3 linked regions of the Mytilus edulis genome follow. Each later gene encodes a partner of the first gene's protein in a complex. Links are inferred from orthologs where the notes say so. Each region holds a gene or a part of one and is shown in the gene's direction. Other genes may lie near its edges.

Region 1 (7,394 bases):
CAACTCTCTATATATTGTGAAATATGAAGTCATATAAAAAACATAAGCAGTTGGAAAAGGATAAGTTTCCATCTCAGGCAAAACAAAAACATCCATATTTTTTAAACAATCATCATTTAACATCAATAACTCTTATGTGTTGTTCAAGAAGCCAACTCAGGCAACTGTTTGAGTATTTTGTAAAAAAGTCTCACAAATATATAAGAAAAAAACATTTTTTAGCCATACCTTTTCATGTCAATAGAACTGAACATTCCATGATGACTCCATTTATAATGGGGGGGATGTAACTCTAATTCACTGGCTAATACAGGGAAGGCCAAGGCTGCTCCCACTGCTCCTATACTACCAACAGTAGCTGCTCCAAGTAATCCATAAGCCTGTGAAAAAAGACATCAATACAATAATATCCCGTACTGTACAGTACAGGTTCAGAAACAATCAGTTTTCAAAATAAAAAATTTAAAGTTGTTTGTCACAATATTGCTCATTTATCATGCGTGTCTCTATATATTTCATTCCTACCTTTGTTTATTGAACTTTTAAAATTTGTGTCAAAAAGTATTAACATTGCCAGTTGTTATTGTTGAAATATAGTGTTGACATTAAGTGTGAGTTTATAGAACCAATTTTACCACTCAAATAAATAATTTCAAGAATGTGTCCATACTACACGGATGCCCCACTCACACTATGATTTTCTATGTTCAGTGAACTGTGAAATTGGGGTCAAAAATCTAATTTGGCATTTAAATTAGAAAGATCATAGCAGAGGGAACATGTGTACTAAGTTTCATGTTGATTGGACTTCAACTTCATCAAAAACTACCTTGACCAAAAACTTAAACCTGAAGTGGGACAGACAGACTAATAAATTGTAGATGGGGCATAAAAATGTAATATGGAATACAGTTAATATAACTTACAGCTTTCTTCCCTCTTGATGCTGATTTGAAACTGAAGCTTGCCTGAGAAAAAAGGAACATTTTATTATAATAGTTATTGTATACATATAGGTACATAAGGTATAAGGTACTAAATGAATATTGACAATAATTAATACAAAATTGAATTTGTATATATATCTTTACACAAGTATACAACATTTGCAATAAAAGAACCTTAATAAGCGCACTCACATACCCCACGTCCCCACATTGTCATTGAAGAAATTAAATAAGTGTAAGAAAAGAAAGTTGAATAAGAAAAAAAATTTAATCATAATTTCCTGTCAATATGCACATCTACTTAGTCTATGTCTTTATTATCTACAAAGCACATCTACATAGTATGTCCTTATTATCTACAAAGTTTCATGAAATTCTGTTGTGTGGTTTCAGGAGTTGCGATGACAAACTGTTGCAGTAGTACATTAAAGCAAATAAGTTCAAAGGCGCGTAACTCCTAGAAAAAAATTATTCAATCGTAATTTCCTGTCGATATGCACATCTACATATTATGTCCTTATTATCTAAAAAAGGTTTCGTGAAATTCTGTTGTGTGGTTTAAGGTGGCTCGGGGCCTATTAAAAGTATCGTATTTTTTGTTATTTTATTCTTTACAGAAATTGAATCAAATTGGTAGAAAAAAAATAGGGGGTCACGGACCATTTAAGCTCAAAATTTAACTTTTAAACAGGTATGTAAAAGGGACCATTTTTCAATGAAATGATAGGGAAAATAGAGGTGTTGACATATTTTTATCGGATTATTAAAAAAACGTTCTATGACACATGGTCCAAAACTGTAATATAAAAAGCTAAAATATAGCTTAAAAGAATGAGCAAATAAAAAAGATAGGTCACCGATAAGGAAAAAAATATATTTTGCCTTAAAACCCAAATTTTGGCGGGAAAATGGTGAAAATGGGTGAAATGTCATTTTGACCCTTTAACAAATACGGATTATAACGAAAATATTCTATTATTCACATGACTACAATGATTTAACATTTCTAATCAATCAAAATATTTAAAAAAATTATATCAAATTAACGACAAATACATTTGTAATTCATGCGTGAAATTATGCGCAGTCGAATAGTCCCGAGCCACCTTAAGAGGAGTTGCAATGACAAAAAACAAGACTAATGGACGGATCACAAACATTATACCCTCCAGAACTTTGTTGTGTGGGATATAATTAATCTCGCTTACGCGCATGGAATATTTGCCACCAGATATTAAGCAAATAACAATCAAAGCAAAATGTCCCGAATAAATGTAAGAAAATCAACAAAACGACATTTCCTACAGGTACAAAAAATCTTTGAGATAGTCCCCTTCAGGTAATGATTATATTGTAACATATTGATTGATATGGATTAAAGAGGGACACTAGAAATCAACACAACAAAGGTGATTTGAAAAGTGTAAATGAGTGGACTGTTTTAATTAAACTCTTGTGTTTGTTTATTTTACCATCTTCTTGGCAATGAAAATTTCATTGTGTATGTGAACACAGCCAATAGGCCAGTTCGGGGATACGGTTTTCAGACAAATCTGTCATGTGACTTTCATCACCACCGGACAAAAATGTATGCATCTTCATTTCCAACATATGTTCAGCAAACAGGTGAAAAAGTTTGATTTTATACTGCACAAAATATTTGGGAAATTAAAATCTAATAAGATGGTCACGCTCCCTCGGTCGTACAGGAATCAAGATTACGTTCTCACAAAACAGAGATTATTTCCTTACTACCACACAGATTGAAGATTTTGAAAGTGCTGGAAACTTTTAATAGAGCAGGAATACAGACGCCCCTTCAATCTGTTAATAAAGGCCTGCGAAAATTGAAGATCTTTTTAGGTGAAAGACATGATTCCAGAAATGATGTTTGTAATCCAAGTGTATACACCTTATCACTATTTCAAGTATTTGTCTGCCATTACTGGACTCCCTGGCAAAAGAAGCTGCTAAAGAAGCAGAAACACTAGCAGTTGATGACATAGTATTTACAAAACAAGATGTAAAAAAAGCAGCTAGAAATTCAGTTACAAAAAAATGGCAACACAGATGGGAAAACAGTAATGCTGGACGTCATTATTTCAGATTTCATCCTTAAGTTAAAAATAAAGTAAAAAAAGATTTCCCGTCAAAAAGAATGTACAACATAATCAACAGTTTAAGAACAGGTTATTCTAAATTAAATGCATACCAATTTATAATAAACCAGCACATCAACTCGGAAACCTGTGATCACTGCAAACAAAAAGAAAATGTACAACACTACCTTTTTGAATGTGACCTGTATTCAGATGCCAGAGACAAACTATTCCATCAAATATACTTCATAACAGGACAAATTCCAACAGATTTAGACAATTTATTAACAATCAATTTGCCAAATGCAGAAAGTATCAATCAACTATTAGCGGAGTACATAGAGGAAACAAACCGTTTTAGTGGATAATTTAATACAAATTTCTTTTAATTTTTAATATTTTTTAATATTTCATGCCATTTCAATAACCTAATTAACCATTTTTTTCTTTTTTTTCACTTTTATATAATTCTATAATATTTTTAAAGCGCCACCTACAATATCTAAGTACAAAGGAGAAACTACATTAGTGTTAAGAATTTTACAAGAGAGGATAATTCACAAGAGAGATTATATTACTCTGTCATCACGACAAAGATTGAAGAAGAAGGACATCACAAAAGTTCCAATAAAATGTTGACGTCATAATAGAATATAGTTGACGCCACAATGGTAAAGTGATTGATCAGTTGATGTATGACCTCAAAATTACAAGTGGGACAGATTTCAAAATAGCGATAAGGTGTATAATTTGATGAACCCTAAACAGACTGAATGACAATACAGCCTTTTGTGTGAGGTTTGGAGCATTCCCAATAGCCTATTACTTGTTGAAGCTAAAATCTAGTTAGGAAAACTTCTTGTTATATCAAATATATGATTACTGTTCTCTGAGACTTCCAAAAAATTTATTAAGTAACATTTTATGTTACACAACTTGGGTTACACAACTTGTCAATCAGTTCACCTTGAAAAACATTTGCTGTTTTCTCCTTAATTGAAGCTCAAACAAGAAAATAATTGTCACAAGTTACAGATATGAATATAATGGTTACGACTGCAAAGTGATTTCAATACCTGTTGTGTATTTGTCAATGATTTTGTCTTTAAAAGAGCTTGTCGCGAGAGCCTGCCAGCAACCGCTGCCATCTTTTCTATACCTTAGTCTAAAGACCCTCGAAACGGAAGTTGACATTTTTGAATATATTAAAATACTTTTGGTTGAAGTAGAATATTTTTATTTTCTATTTAAATTTCAAAAATACAAGTAATTTTTTTTTTTTTTAATATCTTTTTAATGGTCTGCAAAACTTGTGGTAAATGAATCTAAATCGAAATCTGGATCATTTGATTGTTTTTACCTGAAAAAAAGAGAACCCGGCTAAAACTAACACACAAAATCAATAGGTACTCAGTGAAACTGTTAATTTCTTTCAAAGGGCAGCTCTTACACTGTTATTTTATCGTCATTCTTACAATAGAACAGGATACACATTTTAAAATAAAAACCTGAACCCTGGCGTAGTTAGTGTCCCAGGGGTTCGAGTCAAATCGGCACAGGATCTGGTTATTTCGGCACCTATATCAAAAAGACTAATCGACACTTGGTCAAATCACCACCGATTCAAAGTAATTTTGGCATTTGTTTGATAATTTCACCACCAATTTATATTTTTCACCTTTTCTGATTTTCAACTAGTACACATTTTTGTTTAGGGTCCAGCTGAAGTCACCTGTGTATGGTCAGATCATAAGTTTTCGTACTTCATACAAATTCGTACTGTGCATGCACAGACACTTGTTTCTATCCATGGGAAGACCCACTATCAACGTATATATTTACGATAAGTTGATAGTGGGTCTTCCCATGGATAGAAACAAGTGCTTGTGTAACGACTAACGGGAGTGAAAGTGATGTTTAGTTGGCATATAAAACTATGAATGTAAGACAGAAAGTCACAGGACAAAAAGTCACAGACAAAAAGTCACGGACAAAAAGTCACAGGACAAAAAGTCACAATTCAGTTTTGAGATTATTTTTCTTTGAACAAGGCTACACTAATTTTTTAAAATATTTTTTTGTTTTTTTCTTGAACTATTTTATATATGAAGCAACTTTGTAATTCAAAATGTGTTCAATAAATAATTTATCATGATCATAATTGTTATGAAAACAAAATGTCACAGTGGCTAACTACCTAAATGGCTTCATTCTGCCAAGAAATATGTCCTTTGTATGATTAATTTTAATAAATTTTCATTTATCAAGGTTTATGAACAATTGCCTAAACTTAGAAATAAATATATGTTACAAAAAGAAAATATTTCAAGATCTTTCTCTCGTATATTCAATCAATTGTCAAGAAGTTATTTGTGACTTTTTGTCCTATCAAATTTGTGACTTTATGTCTTGTGACTTTTTGTCCTGTGACTTTCTGTCCGTTCTGAGATATTACATGTATTAGTCATTCAATAATTTATTCTTTAGAAGGTCTGATGATTTAAGGTTCATCATAACAAACGGACAAATATGGCTGTATTTACATGTCAAAAATTACTCTGAGTACAGACTTACCTGTGAAGTTGGAAAAGTTTTAATGCCTGGCATCCACTAGATATAATAAAGTTACATGCATTTTGTGTTTCAGAAAGATAAAATCTCTTTTGGATTTTGATGGGCATTTTTTTTCCTTCATGCAAAAGGTGTGAAAATTAACTAAGTTGTGGTACAATGTACAACTATGAGATGCTCCCTCAGGTAAAAAACCGGTTTGTATTGTTTTGATTGTCCTTAATTGACATGGACAAGATTTATCTTCACAAGTGTAGGTGAGTTATTACTCAATTTATTTCACTTGACTGGGCGGAGTTTAACCGTTTCGCTCATAATAAATCATTTCATCTATAGATAGGTGTTTCAGGATAAACTCATCAATGAAGTGTCCAGTTATTCTTTTGTTAATTCCTTTGATGGCACTGATAGGTGATTAGAAATCAGTAATAATTATAACGGCAATCATCCTAATCACACACATCTTCAAATAGACTGTCCTTATGCAAATTAAAACGTAAGCTCCGCCCGATCAGTTGAAATGACATTGGTAATAAAGAGTTTATTTGAGTCAGTGAGTGGACAGCATCAAAGTAATTCAGGTGTTTGTTTATTTTTACACCGCACATCAAAAACTATGAAAGATTTTATCTTTCTTAAACAATGTTAAACACAAAATGCATTTAACTTTTATATATCTAGTGGATGATAGGCATTAGAACTTTCCAAACAGCACAAGTAAGTCTGTACACAGAGTAGTTTTTGGGGTGAAAATACGGCCATATTTGTCCATTTGTTATGATGAACCTTAAACTATAATTGATTACATCAATATTGTCCATACACTTTAAATACAATTCAGTGGTAGACGTTCTTACCATAAATATTATTGTTTCCCAAGGGTTTTCTAGCAGCCGTCAGTATGACGAATTAAATCTGGGCTATCTCGGGACTACGCACAGCTGTTAGAGTACCCACTGAAAGACCCGACCGGGCTCAGGACCAAAGAAAGTGTCACGACCAGAAGTACAATATAATAGTTAGAACTTCAACCACTACACTTGTGTGTGCATGCTTTTTCAATGGAAAACTCATGAGACAAGGATCTATGTGCTGTCTCTTTGCTTGTTGGTGCCAGTATTGTTTTTATACCACCATCTTGTTGAAGCTTTCTGAGATGATAGTGGGCCTTAATTTCCCCAGGGGCTTTTAACATCATGATAATGTGGTGTTACATTGCTAGAATGTAATGCTACCTGAAATTAGCTTCTCAAAGATGAACAATGCAAGAGTTTTCTCAAAAAATGTTTTTTGCAGGAACATGGGACTCCTGTCAGATCCAAAGAAAAGGCAGAAAATACTAGATGTGATTTCTAAGTATAATAACCATTTATCTGTTCTGTGTTACATTGCTGGGGTCACATGGTTTCTGGCGTTAGCATACCAACCACTCAACGCTCGTACATACTTTTCTGAAAATGCTTTATTGCCAGGTATGTATCTTTACAACTGAAACTGCAAATTCAGAATTGACTACATGCATTTATTATTGTGATTTTTGTATCTTCATCTGGGACAACATCCCTAATGCACCTCGAAATGAGGAACTCAAAAGTCATGTGTAAACAAAAAATCTCTGTGAAGTGATATTGGACATGTTGGACATGTTTCTATTTTTTTTTACAAATGACTGAGCTTAACCATTTGTCAAAATGTTTGTGGTGAGAAGGAAAGTAGAGGAACATAGAATAAATGTGTAAAAACTATGGAGCTATTAAATGTGTTCAAAGTATTAAAT
Region 2 (7,141 bases), about 34 Mb from region 1:
ACAAACATATAAACCATACAAGCATTGAAATGTAATAAAATACATATTTAAATATACATATGAAAATTCATCTTGCATACATTTTTTCAATTAACCATCTCATTTTTCTCTCATATACTCATGTCACTCCATTCATTTATTCCACTGCATACACATTTCACCAAATATTCAACATCTATATTCACACTCACTCTAATTCATGAACTCAATAAAGTTAGTGTAATATCAAATGAATGGTCTGGTAACGTAACGTCAAGTGGTTGTGGGGATGCTGGTGCTGGTGGTGCTTCTATTATTTACTGCTGGAACCTGAACGAAAAACATATGTATAAAAGTAGTGAAACAACTAAAAGACGTCAAATATATATATAATTCAAAATAAATAAATTCACATTAATATTTGTAACATTGTTTGATAATTGGCAATCACGTAAACTAATTAAAGGATTAACACCTCCGAAATTTGTATACTTTGCATTAAACAGAGGGCACGCGCCCCAACAATGATTGGATTAATATGATTTATGATGTTTTTTTTTCAATAGGTAATCAAATTCAAATTCAAATTCTTTATTAACTTTGAGCCTTATGGCTCCTCAGAATAATCAAGTACATGTACAGTGTTTACATTTGGCATATTACAAACAATATGCATAATAAACAATAGGTGACATCATTCCGTCTCTGATGGAGAGTTGTCTCATCATCGGATTCATACCGCAATCATACCACATCTTCTTTTTTTATATAATTTAATTAATATCCTTTTTGGTCCATTTATTGGACAAATTTAAAATTTAATGCAAATATCATTTAATATTGAATTAAGTCTTTTCAGGGAAGGGTTAAAACCAAAATTAAAGTAAAAAAAATATCTAAAATATGACCGAAAGTACGAACTATGATTCAAATGAAACACTACATAACTAATAAATTTGTAAATACCTGTATTGCAAAGCTGTGTTACTTTTATAAATCAAGGCCGGTACATCAAATAGACTCCAAACAGCTTCTATCAGCTACAAGAATTTCACTACCCAATGTATGTTTGTACTCCGCTTGAACTCAGCTTGGGTGCTGTGTTTTAATAGTGATCTCGATTTGTATTTCCTTCTGAATTTCTTGACAAAAGCATAATTAATACTTGTGTTCATCAAAGAAGTAATACTAAGCAATTGGCAATCTTCTTAAATTTAAAACTTAATCATTACTTGATTACCTTGTTTTATATTTCAAAACTAATCAACTAAACGTAAGCATCTTATTATATGCAGACGATATCGTCTTACTAGGTCCAAGTGAGGCTAGTTTACAATGTATGCTTGATTGTGTTAATGCATGGTGCCATAAATGGAGATTAAGTAATAATTGTAGTAAATCAAATGTCATACATTTTAGGCCTAGCTCTGTTGAACGTTCTACTTTCAATTTTTTCTGTGGAAGTCATAGTTTAGTGTATGTAGATTCATACAAATATTTAGGTATTTGGTTCAGTGAACATGTAACATGGATTAAAGCCGTCAAAGAACTCTCTAAATCTGCCAGCCGAGCTTTGAGCTGTTTGACTGTGAAATTTTACGCCTATGGTGGTATGACATATCAAGTGTTCACAAAACTGTATAAAAGTTTGGTACAACCAATATTGTTATATGGTGCATCGATATGGGGACTTACTGAACATAGACTTATTAATAACGTTCAAAACAGAGTAAGTAAAATATTCCTTGGAGTGACTAAATTGACTAGCAATACTACAGTACAGGGTGATTTAGGATGGCTGTCATGTCATGCTAAACAAAGACTGGAAGTTTTGAGATTCTTTTATAAACTTGAAAATTCAGATAATTCTCGTACTTTCTATAAGATACATTTATGGTCGAAACGAAAACGTAGATCCTGGAACTTTAATGTGATTAACTTATTTCGCAATATGTCTGTAGAACACTTAATGCAGCCCGGAATTAGCAAAGAACTATTTTTTAAAGTAATTAAAAGTAAATTACGAATACTAGATGAACAGTTGGGGTTTACCAAACTTTGGAATGACAATTCGAATGTGAATGGAAACAAGTTGAGACTATATAGACGTTATAAGAAAGACCTTCAACCTGAACACTATGTTACTAACGCAATGCCACGCCACTTACGAAGTAATCTATGTAAACTTAGATGTGGAACTTTACCTCTGTCCGTCGAGACGGGCCGTTATACGAAACCACCAATACCGTTAGAAGAAAAAAATTGTCCATTTTGTAACAATGCTGTAGAAGATGAGATACACTTTTGGATTATTTGTGACATTTACAGTGACTTAAGGTTTAATTTGTTTCACAGAGCAGCTATGGTCATGGATAATTCTTTTTGTACAAAGTCAGATTTTAATCAATTTGTATTTTTAATTCAGAATGCTGAATTACAATACGAGTTATCTATCTTGGTGCATAATATGATAAGAAGACGTCGTGCATTGAAAAGCAATCTACACTCTTAATTGTATTTCCGTAAAAGTCAAAGTTAATATATTTAATTTATTTATTTTTTTAATTCACTATTGTATATTTCCGTTAAAGTCAAAGTTACATTTAATTTTTTAAATTTTGTTTTTTTGTTTTTGTTCTATTTATTTACTATTTTACTGAGAGTTTTTTTTTATTAAAACAACAAGATAACTTCATTTTATTCTTCGCAATCTGTTTATATAACCTCTTTAAAATATATTCTTTTTATCACATACCATTTATTTTTTTACGTCATACTTATTTTTGTCATTTCTATTTTTAAAAGATATGGTTTTTTTTTGGTTTTTTTTTTAATTACTTATTTTAATTTTTTTGTTTTTTTATGATGTGAAATATCCGGATAATTTTAAACATTTTATTATGTTTTTTCAATTTGTATTTGTTAAATAGATATATATTTGTATATATAGTGTCTCATAAGCCTTTCTAGGCTGGGTATTTGTCTTATTTTATTATTGTGCAATGTATATTATATAATCTGTATAAAAAATCTGTAGACAAGTATGTGACACTTTAATAAAATAAATTATTATTATTATTATTTATTTACTAATCTTATAGTTATAATTTTGACAGAAATTAGTCTCCCATTCAGATACAGTCATTCATATTTGTTCATTTTGTTCTGTTTGTTATACGGAAGATATAAAAAAATCATTTAGAAAACAATATGATATTTTAATATTTTATTAGATTAAACACAATTCTGTATAAGGGAGCTACCATTTGATTTTTATGGGGGGGCTAGGATGAAATTTGAAAAAAATAGGCAGGACAGCAGTTTTGAGTAAAAAAAAAGGCAGGATGAGACACTTTGCCAAAAAAAAAGGCAGGATGACAATGTAGGTAAAAAAAAGTCAGGATAAACTAATAAAAAAAAAGGCAGGACCGAATAGAGTGAAAAATAAAAAGGCAGGACAGAGATTACAACTAAAAAAAAATGCAGGACAAAATTTTTCATCCTAGCCCCCCCCCCCCCCCCCCCCCCATAAAAATCAAATGGTAGCTCCCTAATGCATAAACAAATGATATAACGAAATTTTAAAAACATGATAAATAATGTTAAAACAGTATAGGTTATTAAAAAAAGTTATAATAACCATCTATAAGTACCAAAATAATTCATATATAACATCTAAAAAAAAACCAAAAAAAAAAACCATGGACGATACGATGAATCATACGATACGTTTCATCCTATGGACGTCATGGCAGTATGGCCGTTACGTCCTGCATCGGATATGAAGCATATCAGTATCGTTTGTTTTATATTTGAAACATTTAATGTTGATAAAGTGTGGTTCTTTACCTTTAATAAAATTCTAATTTCAAGGAAATCCATTGAATACTTAAACAGTAATTGAAGTTTGAATAAGTCCGATCAAAGGTTTTTAGGTCTTTTCATTTCTCCGTTCAGGTCCAAGTTTTGGCATGAAAAATCTGTTTTTTATTTAAAAGATTATAAAATGTAGATCTTTTCATTTGATAAAATTTAAACTTGAAGAAAATCCATTCAAAAATAACGAAGTAAGTGTATAATTTTTGAACAAATCATGTGCCATGATGTGGTATATCTTTCAGGTCTATTCGGGTCTTTTCAGGTCCACTTTCAGGTCTTTAGTGTGTCCCATTAAAAATGGCTACCTTTGAAAGATGCTATTTGTGGTTTTCTTTTCTCACTCTTTTAAGTTGTGAGAGCATAACGTTTAGAGAAAATGACACATTTAAAGAAGAGCTCATTGTCAAACCATTTAAAAGTGGCCACGAATTATTTTTTTTCCAGTTTACAACACTCTGGAACTCGAGAAAGCCATGTGAGTATATATCCGTGTTAAATGCGATACCTCAAAAATTATTCTCGATAACTATATAGTATAATAGTCCAGCTCGAATGACCCAATAGCATAGTTATTATCCGAAAAACACTTGTAATGACTGAATAACACTAGAAATTTTAATATTAGCACATATTGGTGACTTTTAAACATTAATTATTAAATAATATTATAAATATAAGCAATGCCAATGATAAGTGTATTTGAATAATACTGGTATAAGGTTCGTTCGCGCCCAATACACTTTCGCACCCTACACGTTCGCACTCAAGGTCCGTTCGCACCAAATTTTAAATAAAATTCCAGTTAAATAATTAGAAAATCAAGATTGTTGTTTTTAATTGATTTGATGTAAATACTGCATATTAAGCTTGGTATGAGTAAAAACATTGAAGATTTTAAATGAAAAACACAAAAGATTTTTATTAAAAACAGCTTATAGGCCCGTTTGATCTGAAACAATGAAACCAAAAATCATAGCAATGCACTTGTAACCGGAGAGTATGAATTTCATTACAAAATTGCTCGTCTCCATCGGTACCTCTGTGTTACAAGCCAGCGCGCTAACCGACTGAGCTAAAGAAGTACTTCCTTAGCTCAACTGCTTACGGCTGACTAAGTATCTACTAAGTTTTTCTAAGGGAAGCAATCCCGTCACACTTCCCCCACCTCAAGAGTCATTATACTCTATAATGATGATATCTTCATCTTTTTTTATATTTATATTTTAACCTGGCTAGGTAATTCTTCTAACCATGGGTTATTATTGTTGGGCGCCAATGTAACCGGAGAGCATGAATTTCATTACAAAATTGCTTGTCTCCACCGGGACTCAGGGTTGGCAAAAACCCGGGTTTAATTAGTATTGCCCAGCCCAGTGGGAAATACTGGGAAAACCCGGGTTTTACTGGGTTTTAGTGGGTAATACTGGGCAATACTGGGTAATATAAAATATGTGTCTGAATTTTAAAGAGGATTCAGTAATAAACACAAATGCAATTCATTTAATAAGATATTTATACCCTATTTTGTTTGTATAGCATTTGTCTAGATCTGCAAACTGTAAATAGAAAGCAAATAAATCTTTTTTTTTTTCAAATGAATATAGCTCCTACTAAGAATTAACAATTACATGTAATAAAGAAACATCACATTTAAATAATGTACAAATGTATATGTACTGTCACTAATTAATAAGTAATTATTCAGATTAGAACACAGATTTGTTTATGTAACAATAATCAGTCCTTTCAATATTTTAAGTGTTAATGGCATGACCCTGTAGGGTGTTTATTTAGCAATATGAATGTATAACAATTAAAATTAACTATTCACTTAAACACTGCAATAAAATGCATTTTTCAAAGTTTGGATTATTGAAACAACTACTTGGTAATTAAAAGGTATCTTTAAATGTGCAAATCTTGTATTCTGCCTACATATAAAATTAACAGAGAAGAGAATGAAATTGAATTTTCTAGAAATGACTGTCAATCGGCCTAGCCAAGATCAGATGTGCATTTCATATTGGGTCTATGTTATAGGCTTGTAAAGACAAGAAGATAAACTTTACATAAGTAATACATCTTTAAACTGAAGAAGAGAATGTAGGGCTTCACAATGAATATCAAATATCATGTATAGGTGTTACCGTTTTGAAAAAAACCCACTAAAATACACGCTGAAAATGGGCAAAATTTCACGTTATGTTGTTTCATTCAAAATTTCGCTGTTTTTATCAATTGATAGTTAATAAGTGAACTTAATTTAAACTACATTATTGGATCATTGCTATAGACAATTTATTCATCTTTCTTTTACTGTTTGTTGCAACAAAAAATCTTCAGTGGTTACAAAGTTATGATAAAAAGTTGAATACTATGCGCTCGTTATGAAATTTTGTACTTTTGTTTTTAGCTTGCTCAGTGTAGTGATAAAAGAGAAAAATAAATCAAATTTATGCTATTATGTGTTTTGTTTTCTCTTCTAGTATATACATTATCAAAAACTACCTCATTTATCAAAATTGCAGTACCCTAGCTGGAGATATATGCCATCAAAGTTGGATATATACAAATAAAGTGAAAAAATGTCTTGTCCGTAGACATGCATTCCCTAGTAAACTTGAAGCATAATTACATTAATGTTGCATTGCTATGTTCCTGTTCTTTTGTAGATATGAAAACACTACTAACATGTTCTCAATTTTTGTAAAATTACTTTACAGGAGTGAATTTTAAAAAGGGTCAGATTATCAGTCATAAAAAGCATATCTTATTTTACTTCAATATTGTTTATTCCAGTTGCTGCATACCTTAAAAGATTAACTAAATCAAATGAAGAAAAAGTATTTCTCTCTCTCTAACTTTATCTTTTGCATTTCAGTATTAACAGCAGATGAGGAAGTGTCTACGGACAAGACACTTGTACATAACAAGTATTAAATTCCATTATTTGTCTGCTATGGAACTTAAATCTTATTTATAGGTTATGAAAGTCATCTATTCAAATTAAAACTCAGTATTTTCAACATAAATATAGTCACAATTAATTCTAACAGATTTTTTTTTTAACTGAAATTGTCTTGTCCGTAGACATTACCACAATATATTTGTATCCAATTTCCTTGAGTTCAGCCTAATTTGATAGGTAAAATGTATGTTATTTTTTCAAGAGAACACATTCAACTATGTCAAAATTGAGTTTTAATGATAGTTTGATTGTTTTAAACAGTCAGATATATGGATTTCAGTTAAAAGAATGTGACTTCATTTTGGCTTAATCAAT
Region 3 (6,853 bases), on another chromosome or scaffold:
TTTTTTGTATTACTAGTAAGCCGTTAAAGGTCTATATAAAAAATATGAAATACACAAATTCAAATGGTATACGTCTGTTTCTGTTTAAAAGTTATTTTTTTCGGAAATGTATTGAAAGATAAACTGACATCTCTCTCAATTCAGTCATGAAGATACAATTTACTTAGCATATTTTGCGAGTATATAATTTTATCAATATTGACTTTGTTTTAAAATTTCAAGGAAAAAAACAGTGGAAGATATCGTCTGTATCATTAACTTGACTTTTATTACATGTAAAGACGTTTATTTATCAATGTTGGCTTTTGTTTTCGTTATATTTCTTCATTTGCTTTCAGAAATGTACTCCGTGTTGCGTTGAGGTGCATTGTCACCTGATTGCTATACAAACCTGTGTATATTAGTATATGACCATAAAGTAAATCAAACCTACCGCCTGGTATTCGGATACACTGTCAATTTTCTTCGACTTATAGTTCTTTGCTTCAAAATGAGGAATGCCCCTAAAAAAAGACATTTATTTAAAGTCAGTTTAATTCATGAAATAATGAACGTGCATGCTTTTGTTATCGTATCATGGCACAATGCATGTTGTTTTTTTAAAACACCGAATCTGAATCTGTCTCTTACCTAGGTTTTAATTTGTAAAGTTATATTTATTGGTGCAAATCCCAGTCATAGCGTACCACTCATTAGAACTATTGATTGATTGATTGTTTGATCTCCAGTTGCATCCTAGTATAAAGTTTAAACAGTGCACCATTTTTTAGGGTTCGCTGGCACAATATCCTTGCCCTTACCTGGTGTTACAGTACAACAAAAAATGAACTGACGAAATCAGTTGAAACGGGAACTTCGTGTCCGTATATACTCCATTGGTGTAAAAAGGGAAGAGACGTATGATTGTCAAGAGAATCAGATAACATCGTAAGGAGGCCCAAATAAACACGGCAGTGCTGAAGGAAACAACTTGAGGGGGATCTTATTTTTTTGTCTTAATTCTTTGACTGTTTAGACTTTCTTATGTGAAACTGAAATTTAGAATATGAATGTCAGTTATTGCTTTATATATATATAGTAGATTAGAGTAAAATCAGTTCTAAAGGGTAAACTTCTTTTGCCGTATGACTAAACAGTTCTTCATTATTTTAAGCAAAAACATCATCAAGGTAACGGTAATTATATTTAATTTCCAATTAATTGGTTTCAGACGAATATTTTCTACACTGTGTAAGTGTGGCCATAAACTGTGGATCATTACAATACAGGAACAAGTCGCCATTTAAGAGGGCGCAATTAGTGCCCATATGAAAACCTTCTACCCTTTAGATAAGCATACTGCCGAAACTTACATAGTTTTTGTCAATAATATAATTGATAGCTTTTATCATCTCATTACTGCTCCATTAACAATATTGGCTTTCTTTTACTTTAAGGGTCCCTATACTTTAGAGGTAGGGTTCATTCATGGTAATGGTTAGGTTAGGGGCTGTTTTAGGTTAGGGTTAGTATTTAGTGTTAGGGCTAGTGTTATGGTTAGGTATGGGTAAGGGTAAGATTGGGGTTTAGGATAGTTAAGTATAGCTCTATAAGAGTTGGGACCCCTAAAATAAAAGAAGGCCACAATATTTGTCACATTTACCTCTTTTTTATTAGTACATGTAAAATGATATATGACCCCTTTTTGTTGATTACTGTATTTGTCAACGTAAATGACATAATTACAAAATACTAAGCAAACTCATTTATGCTTTTAATGATATTGATACAATTTATTTCACAATTTGCCATAAGTAGCTTTTCACTGCAGCAAAAGCGTTCCAGATTGTATTCCAGACAAAAGGGGCTATAGGCGATATCCTCAACTTGGGATGCTTGGATAGATTTGAATTAACGACCAGTTAAAATTCATTTAATAGATTAGTATTTCAACAAATACTGTATGTACCAATTTACAAATGATATCTGCACTGAAGCACATACTGTTGTCTCTCTTTCCCCCTCACTCTCATAATCTCTCTGGAAATTAATCGACTAAGTTTTTTATATTTTTTTTACCTTGGATTCTTCACTGGATCAACCACGACGATAATTTTAGAGCTGGACATTCCTTAGCGGTACGCGAAAAACGGACGTTGATTTTTTTCTCCTCCCTCACCCGCATCCACTTCAACTCCCTTCGTTACCGGCTCAACAATGTGACGTTAACGTCTTTGTGATGACCAAGTGTATAGCAACGGTCAAGGAGATCAATGGTGACGTCACCCATAGCGTAGAATAGTTTGGTTATTCTTTATTTATTTCTAAATCTGTATTAGTTGCATTAAACGTACTGATTATCAAGTTTTCTTTGGTTTTGTTTAAAAATATTTTATATTTCTCCCAAAAAAAAATGGGAACGATTGTTGTAAAAATTATAACTGAAACGGCAACTGTTTTAAAAAAAAATATATACGTTTTACTTATATATGAGTTATCAATACACGCGTATAACTGCATCCAGCACTATAATGTTATATATACTACATGTGCTTTCTGGGAAAGACACATGCAGTCTTTTAGAACCTGAAAACTCTGTTGACCATCGAAGGGCGAACTGTCAAAAGAACACTAGAAAGTAATTACTGAACCGTTTATATATGGATTTCCGAAGCTTGTCTTTTTGTTAGATTTTTTCGTTTCGTTGTTACTTTCACATAGACGCGTACCCAACATCCCTTTTATTCAAATGAAAAATGCAGTTTATAGATAAAATCAGTTGTTTTATGCATTCTTAACATGCACTCTAAATTGGAATTTGTAGTTTCAAATTGGTTTCGTTTATCAATAATTTTGCATAAAGGTTGTCCTAAGCAGTTATAATATCAAGGAAGTCTATAAAAGATATCGGTCGATCACTACTAATGAATGTATGGTTTATTTGATTTGAAACAAACATGTTTGAGTTTTGGATATAGTGTATTGTTTGTAGCGGAGAAATTTGTCTTAGTATTTACTGACTTTACTGGTGTGCACGGTAAAAAACATCGATGTAGTGCTATTTCGTTTCGGCAAAAGTTTAAATCTTGCCCATTACAGTACCCGTATAACTTTCCCCGCACTTTCTCCCATGTCGAACTATACTTTGTATCGTTTCAGTGTTGATTTGTTTTTGTCTTTAATATGCATGGATATTTTGCCACTGAACTTTAAACTGAATTTCTAAAAGAAATCATGAGGTTTATACAATGAATTTTACGAATTAATGTTTGTTGAAAAAACCCCATAAAAGTACTAGGTCCGTCCGACATTTCTAAACAGTGTAATGTCAATATTTTTCAGTATAATAATTCAGATATGGATAGAAACTGCACATTGCTAGTAAATAAAGAAATAGTTATGCCAATCACGGTTAAAAACGATAAACTTGATAATAATTTGGTACAAATAGATAGGAAAATGACAAAAAAAGATTTTAAAAACAATGATAATAAAAATTTTAATCTGCTAACCGAGTCCATGTGACACAGGCACTTGTATCAACAACAATAAAATAATATATATATACCTTTATATAACACGGTATATATGTGGGCAGGAAAATTCTGAAACAAGTCGGGAGTGTAGTCTCAGCTGTGCCCTGTTACTTAGATTGAACTCATCGTGTCAAATTATCAGAATATGGGGATTTTTTTTCTTTAAAACGGTGACTTTTAAATTATCTATTGATTCAATATTAAAATTAAATCATTTTCATTTAAATTCGCGCAGTCTGTCAGAATTCACTCACTAAAAGGACGTTATCGGTTATCGGTTATCGGTTATCGGTGATCTTCTTACGGTATTCAGATAGATCGCTTTCCACTGGTTTCTGGTTTCCAATCGATAAGGAACCAGACACGGCATTATCCGGCAACATAAAAATGAAAAAGTCGGAGGAAAAACAAAAACCAGTCACACGTAAATGAGGAAATTATTAAAACATAATTATTGTGTCCATATCTGAATATGTAGATGCTTGTCATTGTATGCACAAGTCTTCATAAGTTAATTTGTAACAGTCATTCCAAAAACTGATCACTATAAAGTGTTGACCGATGGCCTAAGGCTAAGTATAGTAAGCCACCTCTGTTCACTACTAAATCAAGAACAACAGTACTGTGCCAAATAATTTGACCATTCATTCAGGGTGTTTGTATATCTCCCAGTACAAGGAAAGCATCAATATCCCAAATTACTTTCGAAATCATGAAAATACATGCATCATAAAACATTTTATACTATAGGCTAATGATATGGTATCACACAACACAATTTCAGCTTTACCTCAACTGACTGCATAACACTCATTATCCGAATAACACATGTAATGACCGAATAACACTTGAAATTTTAATATTAGCACATATTTGTAACTTTTAAACATTGATTATTAAATAATAATACATTATCGATGTATTTTATAACTTACAAATGATTTGCAGAAAGCAGATAAGTTCATTAAAAACTTTTTAAATTTAGTGTGTACATCGAACGATGGCGGCCACAGAAATCACAATGGCCGCCATGTACGATGTACACACTAAATTTAAAATGATCTTTATGAACTCTTTTTGCTTTCTTTAAATCATTTTTAAGTTATAAAATATATCGATGATATATTATTATTTAATAATCAATGTTTAAAAGTCACAAATATGTGCTATTATAATTTCAAGTGTTATTCGGTCATTATAAGTGTTATTCGGATAATAACAGTGTTATTTAGTCATTCATGATGCGGGATTGCCGATTTTTTGTAAGCGTGACACGTGAAAGTCAAAATATTGTGCCGTGAAAACAGGAAATGAAGTCTAGCGGGACACGGGAAATTACAAAAAAATGATAGTTGCTTACAATAGTGTAAACGGGATACGGGAATCTGACAAAACAGTAAGCGGGATCCGGGATCAGAACCCCCAATGAGACCCCCTTCATATACTAGATATTCCTCCATAATGACGCTTTTTGACGCCACCCCCTTTGCTCCATAATGACGCCTTTTAACGCCTGTGTAGTACCTCAGTTGAAACGCTTTTGACTACAAAATGTCTGCATCAGACTTAAAAAAATTAGCATCCAATATGAAAAGGATATTCATAAGAATATCTGATTTGAATTTCATTGATGAAATATTCATTTTCACAATGCATTAATACTTTAAACCTGATGATTTTTTTTTTATTAAAAAAATCCTATGCAAATCAAGTATGTAAGAAAATAAATTCCACAGAGGAAAGGGTTAACAAATAATGTGTTGTTACTGTTTCAAAAAGTTATTTTTTGAGTTACTTAGGATCAAGTTTTCTTTTATAGCACAATATTATAGGAAATTAGAAAAGAGAAAGTCAGAAAAAAACTACAGCACTGGCTTGCTCTACCTACTCATATTTATGGAAAAGGCCTTATGGAAGAGCCCTATTTCAAGACAATTTTCCCTCAAATATGTTTTCATTTTCAATATTTTCGTGAAATTACAAGTGTTTTTGATGTTTAAATATTCGTATGTAATTAATAGAGGGGGGGGGGGGGGGGTCAAATTTCTCAAATGTGTTTACTTGGGGATCAAATGAAAATAGTGAAATATTATAGCACTGGCTTGCTCTACCTACTCATATTTATGGAAAAGGCCTTATGGAAGAGCCCTATTTCAAGACAATTTTCCCTCAAATATGTTTTCATTTTCAATATTTTCGTGAAATTACAAGTGTTTTTGATGTTTAAATATTCGTATGTAAATAGAGGGGGGGGGGGGGGGTCAAATTTCTCAAATGTGTTTACTTGGGGATCAAATGAAAATAGTGAAATATTATGTATTATGGGGGGGATCAAGAAATTTTATATGTTTGATTTCAAAAAGTCCCTTAATTAAATGATGTTTATTCATGATACATACATAATCATTAAGACTAAAGAGTTTAATTAAATGATGATTATTCTTTTTGAAATGCATATTTTATATACAAATTATAATATCTATGCAACTATTCTTTAAATTTTCAAAAGAAATTTATTTTTAAAAACGAGGTGCCGGATTGTCTTGGTGTGCCGAAATGTCTTCGGACTTGGGTGCTGATAAGTCTTGTTATCAATATTTTTCCTCTTAAATCGATTGAAATCCCTGAACTAAGTGTTTACTGAGTGACAACCAATCTTGAAGTGAAAATTGCAGGTATGTAATTTAACAGGTAAATGAAAGTGAGAAGATTTCAACTGATGTTTCAATCATAAAACGTATAACAGAACTTTGGTAAACAATTTTGAAACAGTGAAGTAGAATAAATCTTGCAAGAAAGTAAAATCCTTTCTCAGTAATTAATCATTTTTATTAGAATAAAAATTTCCAAATTTCTCTCTCGCACACAACTCATGAGTTAGAGTCAGACTAAGACTAAGAGTAATTAGATAATAGACCTTCTTGCTATTTCAGTATTTAGGAATGCATGTAGTTCAGTGGCAGATCCAGAAATTTTTATAAGTGACTGCCTGAGACGGGCCTACTCTGGTCTTGCTTCAGAGATTCCAAATATAATCAACCAAATTTTTCCCAGAAAACAATCTACTCAAACTCAATCCCCCTTTGTAGTTACAGTTTTGTGTTATTTAATTTTGATCTCTGAAATACATAACATGTAATCTTTACAGAAGTTTACACCATAGCCTTGTAAATCATCTTGAAAAATTTCCTTATCTGTTCAGTATGTATTTTTTACTAAAAGAATTATCTCCCCTTAAATGGCTTATTTGAAAAAATGATTTTAAGAACACAAAATTTGATATTTGTTTAAATGTTTTGAGTTAAACAAAATAAATCCACAAGTTTTCCTTATATAAA

What was found.
Region 2: the proteins of glycosylphosphatidylinositol anchor attachment 1 protein-like (region 1) and GPI transamidase component PIG-T-like are in contact, whole or in part, in a cryo-EM structure (PDB 7W72), measured with the Homo sapiens proteins. The link is inferred for Mytilus edulis from reciprocal best matches to the Homo sapiens genes GPAA1 and PIGT. Residues at the interface, in NP_003792.1 of Homo sapiens: Arg97, Ser98, Val99, Gly100, Glu102, Tyr104, Arg134, Ala135, Pro136, Arg137, Ala138, Ala139, Ser140, Thr141, Glu142, Arg171, Gly172, Gln173, Ile174, Tyr199, His200, Asp201, Val202, Leu212, Gln213, Gly214, Arg215, Ala218, Arg311, Tyr312; in NP_057021.2 of Homo sapiens: Gln91, Gly92, Phe93, Arg95, Arg97, Tyr98, Ser108, Phe211, His212, Thr213, Ser214, Asp247, Phe249, Ile250, Arg340, Gln355, Tyr357, Val358, Ser359, Gly360, Tyr361, Gly362, Leu363, Leu371, Tyr373, Lys441, Asp459, Pro460, Asn461, His462.
Region 3: glycosylphosphatidylinositol anchor attachment 1 protein-like (region 1) and GPI transamidase component PIG-S-like share a complex: the UniProt entries of both Homo sapiens proteins name them as parts of the GPI-anchor transamidase complex. The link is inferred for Mytilus edulis from reciprocal best matches to the Homo sapiens genes GPAA1 and PIGS.

Annotation. Positions count from the first base shown.
Region 1 is NC_092348.1:85,384,338-85,391,731, forward strand, and holds the start of glycosylphosphatidylinositol anchor attachment 1 protein-like, read left to right. Parts: upstream 1-4,374; 5' UTR 4,375-4,452; intron 4,453-6,913; 5' UTR 6,914-6,917; coding exon 6,918-7,089; intron 7,090-7,394. Other genes in the region: cytochrome c1, heme protein, mitochondrial-like, read right to left, coding at 229-380, 927-968, 4,123-4,194. UniProt on the Homo sapiens protein: Component of the glycosylphosphatidylinositol-anchor (GPI-anchor) transamidase (GPI-T) complex that catalyzes the formation of the linkage between a proprotein and a GPI-anchor and participates in GPI anchored protein biosynthesis. Binds GPI-anchor.
Region 2 is NC_092348.1:51,714,881-51,722,021, reverse strand, and holds the start of GPI transamidase component PIG-T-like, read left to right. Parts: upstream 1-4,123; 5' UTR 4,124-4,155; coding exon 4,156-4,333; intron 4,334-7,141. UniProt on the Homo sapiens protein: Component of the glycosylphosphatidylinositol-anchor (GPI-anchor) transamidase (GPI-T) complex that catalyzes the formation of the linkage between a proprotein and a GPI-anchor and participates in GPI anchored protein biosynthesis.
Region 3 is NC_092347.1:87,617,976-87,624,828, reverse strand, and holds the start of GPI transamidase component PIG-S-like, read left to right. Parts: upstream 1-3,835; 5' UTR 3,836-3,902; coding exon 3,903-3,939; intron 3,940-6,853. Other genes in the region: stabilizer of axonemal microtubules 2-like, read right to left, coding at 434-503, 2,059-2,108. UniProt on the Homo sapiens protein: Component of the glycosylphosphatidylinositol-anchor (GPI-anchor) transamidase (GPI-T) complex that catalyzes the formation of the linkage between a proprotein and a GPI-anchor and participates in GPI anchored protein biosynthesis.